Linked DNA regions of Arabidopsis thaliana. The protein of the gene in region 1 interacts with the protein of each later gene in a biochemical or structural test. Each region holds a gene or a part of one and is shown on either strand. Other genes may lie near its edges.

What was found. The genes of interacting proteins can lie anywhere in the genome.
Region 2: the proteins of PRIN2 (region 1) and CRB form a complex in vitro, tested with the Arabidopsis thaliana proteins (one study listed by BioGRID).

What each region holds. Positions count from the first base shown.
Region 1 is NC_003070.9:3,466,301-3,473,112, reverse strand, and holds PRIN2 (Serine/Threonine-kinase), read right to left. Parts: upstream 3,602-6,812; 5' UTR 3,276-3,601; exon of another isoform or gene 3,146-3,275; 5' UTR 3,105-3,145; coding exon 2,850-3,104; intron 2,774-2,849; coding exon 2,678-2,773; intron 2,663-2,677; exon of another isoform or gene 2,195-2,662; intron 2,011-2,194; coding exon 1,822-2,010; 3' UTR 1,625-1,821; downstream 1-1,624. Other genes in the region: AT1G10530 (D-ribose-binding periplasmic protein), read left to right, coding at 587-878, 966-1,066, 1,201-1,308; Pol{lambda} (DNA polymerase lambda (POLL)), read right to left, coding at 3,865-3,963, 4,062-4,146, 4,247-4,314, 4,465-4,545, 4,736-4,826, 4,915-5,003, 5,087-5,140, 5,233-5,412 and 5 more. UniProt on the Arabidopsis thaliana protein: Involved in redox-mediated retrograde signaling to synchronize the expression of photosynthetic genes from both the nuclear and plastidic genomes, especially in excess light conditions.
Region 2 is NC_003070.9:3,012,203-3,020,117, reverse strand, and holds CRB (chloroplast RNA binding protein), read right to left. Parts: upstream 4,882-7,915; 5' UTR 4,646-4,881; coding exon of another isoform or gene 4,544-4,645; 5' UTR 4,313-4,543; coding exon 4,208-4,312; intron 4,084-4,207; coding exon 3,949-4,083; intron 3,871-3,948; coding exon 3,784-3,870; intron 3,661-3,783; coding exon 3,570-3,660; intron 3,459-3,569; coding exon 3,404-3,458; intron 3,303-3,403; coding exon 3,242-3,302; intron 3,074-3,241; coding exon 2,852-3,073; intron 2,711-2,851; coding exon 2,594-2,710; intron 2,442-2,593; coding exon 2,352-2,441; intron 2,260-2,351; coding exon 2,083-2,259; 3' UTR 1,780-2,082; downstream 1-1,779. Other genes in the region: GolS3 (galactinol synthase 3), read right to left, coding at 1-230; AT1G09330 (golgi apparatus membrane protein-like protein ECHIDNA protein), read left to right, coding at 5,215-5,232, 5,538-5,600, 5,690-5,893, 6,015-6,074, 6,746-6,872, 7,027-7,115; AT1G09320 (agenet domain-containing protein), read left to right, coding at 7,890-7,915. UniProt on the Arabidopsis thaliana protein: Binds and cleaves RNA, particularly in stem-loops. Associates with pre-ribosomal particles in chloroplasts, and participates in chloroplast ribosomal RNA metabolism, probably during the final steps of 23S rRNA maturation.

The DNA of each region.
Region 1 (6,812 bases):
AAATCATTCTGAACCATAAAAATCATTCAGCTTAATTTCAATTAATTCAAAAAAGATTAGAATATCTAAAGTAACTCAAACTTACCAAATAGTAAAATATAAAACAAAGTAAATCACTGATAGCAATTTCAAAATGTTTGGTATGTGATAGTGCTTGTTTTCCTCATGCTGTATACCAAACCTATTCCATTTTAAACAATCACATCTTAATCATTTCTTCCATAGTCTCGGCGTCGCCACCTGTCCAATCTAACCGACTTTTAAATTCTGACCATCTTATTCCTATTCAATTCCCGATGGCACTGATCACAGTCAAATCTACATAAACAATAATAAAAATCATAAATAACTCTACACTAGTGATAACAAATAAAATCATAATATAAAATTGGGATTTTCGCATGTTTATAAGTAAAGCTAAAGTGAGAGTAGCAGAGTGTGTGGACCTACCCTCGCCGGCAAACTTTTTCCTCTCTTCCGCTTTCTCCTTTTTTCACAGAGTTCTACTCTGTTTTCATTTTTTCTTCTTTCTTTCGTTTCTTAGGTAACATCAAAAGATAGTGTGTTTTTTTCTCCCACTGCATATATGGGGAATTGTCAGGCGGTGAATGCGGCAGTGCTGGTTCTACAACATCCCGGCGGGATTATCGACCGGTACTATAGCTCTGTATCCGTCACCGAGGTCATGGCTATGTATCCTGGTCACTACGTCTCTCTCATCATTCCTTTGTCAGAGGAGGAAGAGAAGAATATTCCAGCGACGGAGAAGGGAGATGATAAGAAGCAGAGGAAGGCTGTGAGGTTTACACGTGTCCAGCTTCTCCGGCCAACGGAGAATCTTGTGCTCGGTCACGCTTACCGGCTCATTACTTCACAAGGTTTCGCCTTTTGCTTTCTTTCTTTTTTTTTCTCCTCGTGTGTGTGATTGGAGTTTATGGTTTTAGATGGTTATTGTAATTTTACAGAAGTGATGAAGGTGTTACGGGAAAAGAAGAGCGCCAAGACGAAAAAACATCAGATTGAGAAGACAACCACGGCGAAGAAGTTCTCGGACAAGAAAGTTCCGGTAAAGACATGGGATTTTGCTAAAAGATCTATCTTTACTCTGTTTTTGAATTGTGACGTAAAAAACTGTGACCTCTTTCGTCTAAATGATCGATAGACGAATCAAGTTAATGAGGTTTGTGTTTTATTTGATAGGAGAAGAAACAAGGGAAGCAATTTCGTGTTATAAGGAATTCAACTTCCCTCTTAAAGTCTAAAACATGGAGGCCGTCTCTTCAGAGCATCTCCGAAGCTACTAGCTGAATGTTTTTGGTTTTTGTTCGAAACAGTATCTGGATCTAGAGTGGAGAGCCTGATCCGAAACTCTACTGAATAATTTTTTGGTTCTGTTTTTTTTTTTCCTGGATATTACAGAGGATAAACGGATGGAGTCTAGATGAAGATGTGAAGAGATAAGTACAGAGAAAGCTCAAGAGAGTCAACAAAACAGAACTTCTTCTTCCTTTTTTTTCCCTCTATCGTCGATGTATATATTTTTGCAGATGGGGAAATCGATGGAAGTTTGTAAGAAGTGTGGTTTTTGTTGATGTGTGAGATTGATTCAGAGGACACAAAGCTTCTGAATAAGAACAATAAAAAGCTTTTGCCATCTTTTCTTTTTCTTGTTTCCAGTCGTTTGGACAAGTTTACACCAAACAGTTTTTGATCAAAGATTAAGTGCTTCACGACATAGTAATCAGAGTTTTACAATGACACATCTGCTACCCCACTACTAAACTAAATAACTCACGGATTATACTTAATGCTCCCAGGGGACTAATCAGTGCCGGTCCATTCCTTCCAGTCCTTGTCTACATGATCCTGAGCCCATTTAATAGCTGCTCGGGCGGCTTGTGGACCTCCAGGCAATTCCCTTTCGTTGAGAGTATCTGCCATGTCAATGAAAGGTATCACCAAGAGTGTACCAGGTCCTCCATACTCACTGCGCAAGAACGTCTCGAAGATCTGTCAATAATCACAATGGTGCAGAACAAAAAACTGTTAAAACTCCCTGAGTCTCATGCCAAGACATATAACAGACTTAGAGAATGGGGTTTAAAGTATCACTCATGAAACAAAAACTTACAGTCGACTCATTGTAAACCATACGTAGATTAATATCCTCACCAAGGCATCATTACTAAGACCACAGCATCTCATTTTCAAACAATACAAACTTTTTTTCACTGAGCTTTCAAGATGGGTTCAAATTGAAAACCACTCCTTCACATTCTAAACCGAATCACATGACCCTCTCCATTCTAGGCCTTAAGCTCGACTAAGTCCAAGACCACAAAATCACTCCTCAAGATTTAAGGAAAATGCTTGCATAATCACAATCATACAAACTAGGAAAACTTCGATCAAACATCACCATTGCAATTCCAAAACTAGCATATTGACAGTAAAAGATGATTACATTACCTAAACAATTTCAGATCAGGATTCTCATTCATCACAAGAATAAGAGATTTGAGGCATGTTAAGAAAATATCAGAAACTGAGACTAAAAATTACACCACTTTTGAGTTCTTTGAAATGGAACACAATTACTAAAAACACCACAATTCAAGACATCTCACATAGACACGAACAGATATACATGAGTGAAGGTGAGAAGATTTGAGATTACCTCAGTGCAGACTCCAACAATTTCATCAACAGAGTCTTCAAAAAGATCTCTTTTTGATAGTTTGTTTAACATATGGTCCCTAAATTTCTCAGTCTCCTGGTTATATCACACATCAATTAGGTTTCGATCATCCATCAAAAATGAGTTGAAGAAGAAGAGGAAATGAGCTCACAGCTTCGGCGAATTCAGGTATGGGATCCGGAAACTTGTACTCAGCAGCTCTGCAAACGAACCCTCTCCGGGACAGTGAAGATAGAGAAAAGTCCCTCACTTTGGTTCTACAACGCTGTTTAAAAAACTGGGTCGATTTGATTGCGCAAGATACTGCAGCTGGTGAAGAGATAATTGGAAGAGCGCAACGGAAGGAAAAAGAAGAATTGACTTGAAGAAGCCGAGAAGAGAACAGAGCTTCGTGCATTGAAGCCATTACTAAGCTTTGCTTCACTCTTCAACCTTATCTCTTGTTTTCTGCAATAAAACAGCTGAGGGTTTTAGCGAGGTTTCAATTAAAGGGTGAAAATGTAAGAAATTGAAAGTTTTGAGGGTGAAAAAAAAAAAAAAAAAAAAAAAAAAAAACCGAGGGTAAAATAAAAAGAACCTGTCAGACCGCCGTGCGACCACCCCGGCAAGGAAGACCAAGCCGAGTAACGATCCTCTACAGCACCGGATGCGTCCGAAGACGATCGTAGCCATCAATCACGCTCTGACCGCACGGTCATGGTTCATCAACCAGGGTTTAGGGCCTGTCTCCTTAGAAATCAAGGAAACAGAGGTACGAGCCTATAGAACAGATCCTGTTCAAGTAAGGTCGTGACCATCTATCTTTTGTGTCCTTATATATACAAATTGGTTTTCTGCTGGCTTTTCGATGTGGGACATTTGACACTCTTATTTCCACACTTAATCCAACTATCTTATGACACGTGTAATTAATTATTTAGTAAAGGAATTGTATTTTAAAAAAAAATTGAGATCCCAAGTTTCCTCAGTACCATAGGTTTTCTTAGTTTACCTTAAAGATATGCAATGGTTTCTAATACAAGTACATTGCATTGCATTATATGTAACATCTAAATCAGTTGTCCATGGATATGCAATTACAAAAAGGAACCGATTACTTACATACAGAACCTATTCAAAAAGAAAAAAAAAAAATTTAGTACCAAAGGCTGTGTGCCTGTGATGCCTTAGAGATTCCTCTCGTGTGGCTCGAGCCAAGGAAATCCTAAGAAATCAAAAACTTGTTTCTCCGTTGAGAGTTTCAGACTTGCAGTTCCTCTAGCACCCTGAGAGACAAACATTATCACAGCTTCAACATAATCATTCTTTCACTTTAAAACCCAAGAATTCACATCAAGTTAATTCACTTTTCTCCCTTACTTACCCGGTTACCACTAGAACTGTGAGTAGCTGGGAATAGTCCAGTGTCGTCAAGTCGATATCCTTTCGATTCTGCTAGCAATCTCAGCCTGCAGTTATCATCGCATATATATATACATATGCTGTGTTCTTTATCTACCAACAAATGTGTTTAGTGAGACATGTATACAAATGAAATCATATCCATACCTTCTGTTCAACACGTCGTTCCCTGTCCAGGCTATGAGTCCAAACGAATAGATATCCCTTGGATAGACCTATGAAAAAAGACTATTTATTGAATGATCTTCCGGGAAGAGATCAACCTAGACATAGCTGAATCAATCATGGTATTGTCCTTTTTATCTTTGACTAACCCACTTAGTTCTTTTCTGCATTGTGTGACATTAGGAGTTTTCAGGTGTTACCTTAAAATCGATACGGCGCCGTAGCTCCTGACCAGGATAAGTGCACAAACCAAAATACGTGTCAACGCCTGAATCAGTACCCTGCACAATAAGGGAAATCATTGAGGAGCTGTGATTGAACAAGAATTTTTGTTACACATGCAACTCTGAGAGAACAAAGCTTTATCTAATGCTAAAAGAGATCATTTTATAAGATACTGAAACAACTGAAGTAATGTGTTTTCAATGAAGATGAGATCCTCTCTTAAATAATTTTATCAGATCATCTTACCTCTTCACTGTGGGTGCTGAAGATGAGATCCTCCCTTAAAAAGTTCATTTCTTTTAAACGCTTTACAAACTTTGTCAAAAATCCCTTGTGACTGGTCAGGACAATAAGAAAAAACAGTTTAAGTAAACTTTGTTACAGGAAACTAACGCAGGAAGATGAGGAAAGAAGATTGTAGGTACCTTTGTCCATCAGGATGGGTGACAACGATATCCAGATCTCCACAAGTAGCTTTCCCACGTCTATATGATCCTCCACATACAATATTCACCTGCAGTAAAGATGTTGGTTAGGATTTCACTAAACTTTTATCACCCAAATATGGAGCAGACCGATAAACTGAATAGTTCATACGCCAGGCAAAGTTTCCTCGCCGACTCTCTGTAAAAGTTGTTCCATCTCTTGCACCTACAATACAGAAAGTGAAGAAATATGAGGAGAAAATTACAAGAAGGATAATAAAGACAAACAAAATTCACGTTGAAGTTTAAGAATCGCACCTCCTGACGTGGAATTCGTGTTTTGATATCATCAAAATATTTCAACCCCAACTTCTGTGCATGCGTTAGTGAATCCTCATTCTTCAAGTCTTCTAGTGTGCGATGTCCTTTCTCATATAGCTTGAGTGCAGTTGCAGGACCGACACCCCAAACTTCCCCGAACAAACTGATTGTACGAACCTTCAACCATAGTAATGAAACATTTATAGTGGTAAACAAAACATATCAGACATCTCTAGCTCCAGTTCGGTCATTGACAGTATTTTTCTTTAAAGAGAAAAAGGAACAAGAGAAAAGCAAATGGCCTCTACATGTGAGCTTGTATCTAATTGAAAATGGGAGATAGCAAAATAACTATAACCAAGGACTTCAAAATTACCTTCTCATCTGTTTCAAAATGTTCAAGCTTGGACAACTTCCCTGTTGTCACAATCTCTTGAATCTGCCAAATTCAGGTAGAAGAATAAGACTTTGTTCTCACAGAAATACATCAAAACAAAGGTTATAGGTATGCACTAGGAAAAGGGTAAGTGTTTGCAGTTTTGACACCCACACACAGAACCTAGACAAAACATTTGAAGCATTTCTCAACTTACATGATCTCTCATTGCCTTTCCGATTCCAGGGAGGTGTTTGAGCTGATCAACGCTTTCAATCCTAGTGGGGAACTTTTCAATGACGGGGATAGCTTTGTAATAGCTAAAGGACCGTCTATCTTCACCCAAAGCTTTTGAAAAAAAAGAAAGAGTATTGTTACTTACTTACTATAAGCGAGTAGTCTAGAATACAAACACCAGAGATTGTACCTCTATATATGTTAATTAACTTTCCAAATATCTCAGTGATATTTCTGTTCAAATCGGGTGGTTTGTACACCGATGTGGACTACAAATCAAAAGAAGATCAATGAGAACTTCCAATATCAACAACATTATTTCTTTCTGAAAATGCAGATATAGAAAACAGGTTTTTGTTTAGTTAACTTCTAAGAACCAAAAGGATGCATCAGCAAAGGAGTCACTCAGGCTTACCTCTGATTGTGGACTAGTGGGAGTCTCTGCGATGCCTTCTCCAGGACTGGCGCTAGTAGAGGGAACACTGCAACTTGTTGGTGAATCCGGTGATCCTTGTGTATTGCTATGACTTTCAACGCCTTTGAAGTCACCAGCATCAGGAGAATATCTGGTTCTTTTTTGAGGTGAAGATTGATCCTCGCTACCACTTATTGCAGGCAAAGACTTTTTCGGCTTATCAACTTCTTCTGAGTCAATTTTGAGAACATACAAATCTTCATTAGCCTTCTCTCCTGAAGTTAGGCTATCTTCTAACCACTGGTAAAGCATAAGGCGCTGCAAGGAACAACCAATGTATATAAACTTGTAACACTGGATAATCTCTATTCGTAGATAAAACTTGTACCCAATTAATCTAATCGTAGAGAAAACTCATGAACAACACAACAGATAGTTATAAAAGATTGTTTTTTCTATATGACGAAATCCATTTTTTAGTAAAAACTGAAAAGAACGAAAAACCAACTTACTGCTGTAAAATGCGAGAGACGTTCTTTCCCAAATTTG
Region 2 (7,915 bases), 450 kb from region 1:
ACCGGCTGAATCTCCTTGATGACGCAGCCTTGGTCCAATAGCTGTCTCCGGTGATCGGCCGGCACGTCAGGTAACACAGCAACCACTAATGGGTACTTGCTTTTAGTTTTCCTTAGCCCTTTAGCCAGACCAACCACTCCTTTCACGTAGTCTCCGGTTCCGGCGAGGAACGTAACGTACGCTCTCTTCTTTTCTCCGTAGCTCAACTTGTTGTTCATCTCAGGTGCCATCTTGTCCGAGAAAGATTATCAGAGAAAACTCTTTTCTTTGTGATGATCAGTTTTGAGTTGTTGATAAGTGATTTGATTGTTGGTGAGAAACAACTTATATAGGCTTTGAGGCCGTGATTATGGCTAATTAATAAAACGGTTAATTATCCACCGGGGAAAGCTTCGTAAGTTCGTATTAAGTTGAAGATGCCCGAAATGATGACATGGCGATGCAGTGTGACAGGTCCACTTTAGATACTACCCCATGTGTTTAGCGAGAGAGGGCCCTACCAGCGCTAACGAAATCTCGTGATTGGTTGAAGGATCTCCGTTGAATTCAATACAAGGCTGTGATAATGCCACGTGGCCTAAATGGAGCCCACGAAGAAGAAGCTGAGGGAACATTGATTGGTTGTTACTATACCCAAAGCTAATTTGCTGCTCGTTAATTGTTAAGTAATCTATTTTGTCCGACCCATGGCCGACCTACTATTTATGTAGTGGTTGTTTTCTATAAATTTGATATTTTCTTCTTTTGTCCTAACGTCATAATTTTAATATTTCTAAACTTTTTTTTTCTTTTTCTTTTTGTTAACTGGCCAAAAGCCAAAATGTTATAGTATATATCCATTATTAGTTTTTTGTTTTGGTAAAAATATGCATTATTAGTTTACGTTGATATGTTTCAAGATCTTTTACTTGTAAGCCAAAATGCTCAATAGACTACCAAATTTCTTTTTATCCTGTCTGTTGAATTGTTTAGTTAGTTTTTTATAGAGTATTTGACTAGTTGGATATATGTATGTAGTATTGTTGGGTATTCTGATGTTGATATGAATGTAACAATCTAAGAGTAGCACTATAACATTTTGACGTACCGACATACGTGAAAAGAAAAAGACGTACCGACATATGTTGAGAAAGAGAAAGAATAAGATGATATTTATAAACTCACATGGAGCTACGACTTTAAGTAATCCTGACCAAACAAAAAATAGGAAGAAGACTAAATCTTTTTTCGTAGTATATTCTTTGGAATCTAAATTTCACAAGAATTTTGTAAGATTCTTCTATCCACAAGATTAAGACTTGCAGTGAGAACTAAATGATCCAACAAGAGTCGAGAGAAAAAAAACATAAAACAAAATTCCGGAGAATGACTCATTTACATTTAGATAACCAATAGAGTAATAGAATTTACATTTCTTTTCTTTTATTTTCAATTAATCACTAATACAAGTTTCAGACGTTTAAAAAATCAACTAATCATTTTTTTCACTAAAAATAGGCCAAAAGATAAGTAAATTACAACCAATGAAATATGTCTCTATAAACTATTAATATTTGATGAAAAAAAAAAAAAAAAACTAATAATATTCACAAGTTGGACTTTTCAATTACGAGTTGGGCTTCTAAATTTAAATATTGGAGCCCAAATGAGTTTTTATTTGACCGGTATGTAGCGGGCATAACCAAGCACGGGTCAAATCTGTATTTAGTCGTGCGAATTCGATTTTTTGGTTCGGTTCGATCGGTTAATGGGCTATATGATACAAAGGGGCCCGCATTTAAAACTAAAGTTTAATTAGCTCGGTAGTCGGTATGGTTGTAATTTTGGTTCGGTTCAGATTTAGAAAGAGGATATCGAATTGATACCAAAATTCCTAAGTTCCTAAGTCAAGAGCCAGACCGTCTCTTTCTCGTGTACTTACTTTCTCGGTTTCTTCATCGTCCCTAGCTTGACTTCTTTAGAGAAAAGTCGAACAAAATCCGGACCATAACATACGTGAGATGACAATAAAGTTCAGAACTTTAAGAGAACCGGGTGATCAGAATCATACAAGCCAAGAATGAGCAACTCTTAGGATTTCGATTATTGAAGAACAAGTTTCTTGCTCAGAATCATGTCGTCAGTGGTGAAATCCGCTTCTTTCCGGAATGTTCCGCGACCGAAATCAAGGTTGTATGAGTCAGTGAGACCCTCCACTAAGTCGAACTCCGGTTTCCATCCGAGGACATGCTTTGCTTTCTCCACCGATGCAAAGAAATGCTGCAAGAGAATATACATATATCAAAATCTCAACTTCTAAATTGGAATCGTTCATGTTGCAGCCTCGATCATTAGAACGTTGTGGTTTTTACCTGATCACGGAAAGGGAATGCCTTCTTCTTCCCAAAGTCGAACTCTTTCGGGTTGTAATGAACAATCTCTGGCTCCGGAAACCCACCGGCCTGAGAGAGAGTTGAAAACATGAATAAGTTTACTCAAGCAATGATCCAAAAAGCTCAGAGTATGATATCTATTACAAACGGACCACACCAGGATGTACTTGAAACGATTTGGATTGATGAGACAACAATAAAGCCAATAGAAAAGAATGTACCTTTGCGCAAGCTTTTGCTAACCCATCAAAGGTAACATATTTCTCCCCCGAGATGTTGAATATCTCTCTGCTGGCTTTCTCGTTACCAAGCACGTTGAGAAAGGCTGTTGCCAAGTCCTGAAATTACAGAATGATTTGATGTTATTGATCAATACTCTTCAAGATTGATCAGAGCTGAGTTTCAGTCAGTGGGTCCCTATAACAATGAGTTTTCTGAACATGAAAGGAAGCTCAAGAATTAGAGAAAGTGTGACTGACCTTAACGTGACCGAGTTGTGAGATCTGTATCCCAGAGTTTGGAACCGGGATTGGGCGACCTGCCTTTAGACGGTGGAAAAACCATTCTTCGACGGGGTTGTAATTCAATGGACCGTAGATGTAGACAGGACGTATAGAAGTCCAGTTTACACCTTTTGATTGCAGTAAGCTCTCAGTCTCCAGCTTCCCCTTGTGCCTGCTCTTCGGATCAACTGCATCCTCCTGCATCAGTTATGTCCCAAATAAAAAGTTATTACAAATGGCCTTAGATAATAAACTTCTGGGTGACATCATATGATCAAATTACATAATCATACTATTCTATGGCTAATTCAAGAAAAGTACAAGCTCATATCTTCCAGGAATAAGAATAAGATATCTTTTACATACCTCACAATGTGGCAAGATATCAGATTTCAGATAAACACCAGCTGAAGAACAGTAGATGTACCTATAACATTAACGGAAGATTTAAATTTTGAAGGGCTATGTTTTGAAAGCTATAAACCAAATGAACAAGCTAGGCCTTGATAGATGTTATGTATTACTTACTGCTCTAGTTTGGGTAGTGCTTCTAGTATGGGCTCAACTTCTTCGGCCTCCCTCCCTGAGAAAAAAAGAGAGCATAAATTATACGAAATCTTAAAATCTTTGTTGTCAAAGGCAAAAGACTAGATATTCTTGAATTTACAGTAAGAACAAAGTGATTAGCTGTTACCGTTGATATCATAAACAACATCGAAGCCTTCTGCTGAAAGACTTGACTTCACAAAGTCATAGTCCTTTCTGTCTCCTTTCAAGTGAAGAATCTAGAAAAGGCCGAGAAAAATCATTTATTTTATTGGAATCCTAATCATCCAAGTTCCTATCATCTGAAATGTATATTATATTTGAGTGTGCATACTAGTTTTTTACAAGGATTCATGTAATACCTTAGAAGAGAAATCAGCAAAGTCTTGGTCAGATTCACCGGGCAATTGTTTGGCAATAGGAGATTTACCCCTTGTGAACAATGTAACCTGCAAAAGCAACCATTGGTCACTCAGAAACGGAAACTAAATTTTTAGCTGAAAAGAGAGTTTGATCGGTAGTGGAACCTGATGTCCCTCTTTGACAAGGATCCTGGACAAGAACAGACCAATGAATCGAGTACCACCCATTATCAGAATCTTCTTTTCGCTCGACGCTGAAACATAGAGTGCTCCTTTTGGCTGATGAACCTTCCTCTTGTACTGCAATTTTAACAACAAAGCCAACTCTATAAGAAAAATCTTATCCCCAAAATACAAACTGTAGTTTCAATTCTAAGACTAGTGATAGAATCTGAAGGCAGAGCGTCACAGAAACAAATCATACTTGACACAAATGAGGGGGGTATTCAGACAACTCAAACCAGAGCCAAACCACAAACCAGAAACTCTCACAATTATGACGAAGAAGCTCATAAAACTCTTTACTCATAATACAAAATCAGAGCTGAAACAAGAACCACACTAAGACTTTAGACACACATTCATTAATATAGACACAATGATCCATAGCTCAAGAAGTCGAACAAACAAGCTTAAACCCATTTTAAAAGGAATAGTTTTGAAATGTGCTGAACGGATTTTGGCTCATCAGACACACAAAAGCAGAACCCATCTGATAAAATTGATAATGATAGTCGTCAGAACGAAGGATGAAAAAGACCTGGACTTGTAAATGGAGCTTAGCGCCATTGAAGTCAGACAGAGAAGAAGTAAGGAGAGAGAAAGAAGGCTGATGCTGTTGCAACATCATCATCTTCGCCATGGTTGATTGGTTAAGTCTCTGAGCAACAACTGAAGAAAAGCTCTTATTTGAAATTGAAGTGTGTATGGTGGTTCGTGGGACCTCGTCATCTTGTTCCTTCCGATCATTAAAAGTCTTAAATTTTGAAGGGATAAGACAATTATCTCAGCCTCTCGCCATTTCATGGTCACATATTTACAGCCATTGTCGTCCTCTTCTTTCTTAACTCTTCTTTTGCCTTGTTGTGGATAGTGGATAATTTTGATCGAAACACAAGTTTTTGTGGTGAAATCGTAATTACCATTTTTTTTGAATAATTGGGCCTAACTTCTTTAAATATTATTGGGCCAGAGAAGAGTTATCGGGCTCGTTGAGAATTAAAAAACACATTTGAAAGAAATTATCAAAAATAGAAGAAATCACGTAGCAGACACGCGCAAGAGTTTTGAAGATCTGATACAGAAATTTTTTCTCGGGAAAATTCAGAGGGAAGATCGATACTTTCCACAACGGAGAAGGTGTTTCGTTTCTGCTGATCAGCAGATTACTTCTTCTTTTTCTCGGATTGATCCTTTTGGATTCTTCGAAAGATGGACCCTAATAATCAGGTGAATTTTCAGCTGCTTCCTCTCATTTTGTTCTGACTTAATTTCTGAGTTCGATTGCATATCAGATTCTTGATTAACCTGTATCTAGTTGTTCGATCTAGATGTTATTGTGTCAGATCTGTGTTTCGACGTTTTGGTCTCCGATAATCCGTAGAAATTATGCATTTGAGCTAAATAAACATTGCTAGGTTAGAGGATGTGTTGGCGGATAATAATCTTTATGTACTCTTTTGGGTAGCATCGTAATGGTTATTACAATGTAAAATTGCTACAGCTAATCTTACCAAAACTTTATGCTTTCTTAGATACAGGCACCAGTTGAAAATTATGCAAACCCAAGGACATGTCTTTTCCATGTTCTCTTCAAGGTATGATTTAGAGTATAAATCAGTTTAGTCAAAGGAAATGTTAGACATTGGACAAATGTTAAACCAGTTTGTATTTGTTCTTGGACCAGGGTGCTGCGTTGGCGTTTTACATTCTCTCTGCTCTCTTCTTCAACAGCTTTGTCATCATCTTTGTAGTCACTGTTCTTCTTGCTGCTCTTGACTTCTGGGTGGTTAAGAATGTCAGTGGGCGTATACTGGTTGGTCTCAGGTGGTGGAACGAGATCAATGACTTGGGAGAAAGTGTCTGGAAATTCGAGTCTCTTGATCAGGAGGTTAGCTTTTCTTCACTTATTCACAAGGATATGGGTTCAGCCTGTCGAGAAATGTGGGGTTGTGTTTCCCTTTCCGTTTTTTTTTTGTATACTCATGTGTTTTCATCATTTTTCTATACAGTCTTTGGCTCGGATGAACAAGAAAGACTCATGGCTTTTCTGGTGGACACTTTACCTTGCAGTAAGTATTTCATATCTAACACTTCAGTTGCAGCATAAGCTAATTACTTAAAACCCATTCACAATCATTGTGGAACTTTAGTGGATGACTAGGAATAAGAATAGGCAAGGATAAACATGTCCCTTATAGTGGAATAAGAATAGGCAAGAATAAACATGTCCCTTATATTGAAGCATATTGTGCAAAGGTGGTAGATAAGAATTGAGAGCAGTCTTTTAGAATCCCATGTAGACCCATATATAGATCGCTAGACACCTGAATATCTTCCCCCAAGAAGCTACCAGTTAAAGAAGTTTGCGACAAATGGTTTTTCCCTCTGCATGAGTGGGATATAGCATTTGACATTGGAGTCAAATCACATGCGAAGTCACATTACAATATATGTTGAGTAGGGAAAGATTATCTGCTGGAACCAAGTCGGCCATTTGGAGTATATCCTATGATCTTACACTGACTAAGTATAATATTAGTTAAAACTTGGTAGCTTACAAACTTATATGCTCAGTTACCTTACAAGCGACTATAAAGAGTGAGATGTAGCCATGAGATGGTAGCTATGGATTTGATGTCTATGGTACTGGAGCGTAGTAAACATTAAAAACATGTGGATTTGTTTGCTGTCTTTTTCTGTTGTCTTCACAGCTAAATCTTCTCCTTTTTTCACTCTTCAGGCAGCTGCATGGTTTATCCTTGGGGTATTTTCTCTGATTAGATTTCAAGCTGACTATCTGCTTGTTGTTGGCGTTTGCTTGTCCCTCAATGTGGCTAATATCATCGGCTTCACAAAGTGCAAGAAAGGTAAGATCCTCATTAGTCTTTCACAACTGACCTGATTTTGTGTAAAATCAAACCAGCTGTAGATCAATAGGTTGTTAGCTTTTTGTACAAAGAACATACGCATGTACATATATAGAGGTGACTCTAATCGGCATTCACCAATTCTTGTTGGCAGATGCAAAGAAACAATTTCAGCAGTTTGCTTCGCAGACAATCGCATCACGGTTCCAATCAACAGTACAATCTGCCTTCACCCTTGTCTGAAGAGAAGAAAGACGCTTTTTTTAAGGGCTGTGAGAGCAAAGACGGTGTACAAAGAAGATTGCCAAAACGACATGGTTGGTTTTTTGACTGATTGGTTTCAAATGTTTTGTAAGATTTAAGAGGTCCTATATTCGTCTTTCTATGTATTTTACATTTTCGACTTACCTATTAACATTTTGCATCTCGTATGGTCTTATTATACGTATATTAGCCCTAAAGAAAAATCAGAAATTTTAAAGTCTCTGATCCTTTCCAATTCTGCATATGCATCTTCTGTTCATGTTGCAGGCGATGCATCTTTTTGTTTTGGTGAGCTACTTATTAACACTAAGCTTCGTGGTGATTTACTAATGCAGAGCAGAGATCATGTAGATGATGTTGTTTCATGAGACATGAGAAGAGAGAAATGATTTGAAATTACTACTGAGTAAAGGACATTATTATGAAAATAATTTACGTTCTTTTAAGCCCAAATAAATTTGGTGGCCCAAGTTAAAAAAAGGTGAACTTGGGCTACAACCTCTTTTTAGCCCATGATCACTTTTTCACCAATCTCAGTATCTTACCACAAATCTATTGAGAATATTTTGGGTTTCTGTTTCTGACGTTAAAAGCTAAAAATCTAGAGACTTTTGATATCCCAAAAGCAAAGCTTTTTGAAATTGAGAAATCAAACCCCAAAACCCTAAAAAGCTGATTCCTTTCTTTGATTCTCACTACCAATTCTTCCCGCCAGTTTCCTTTCCCCGATTCATCCTTGACACTTGCAACGCCATGTTGCGGCCTCGCCGATCTCTTGG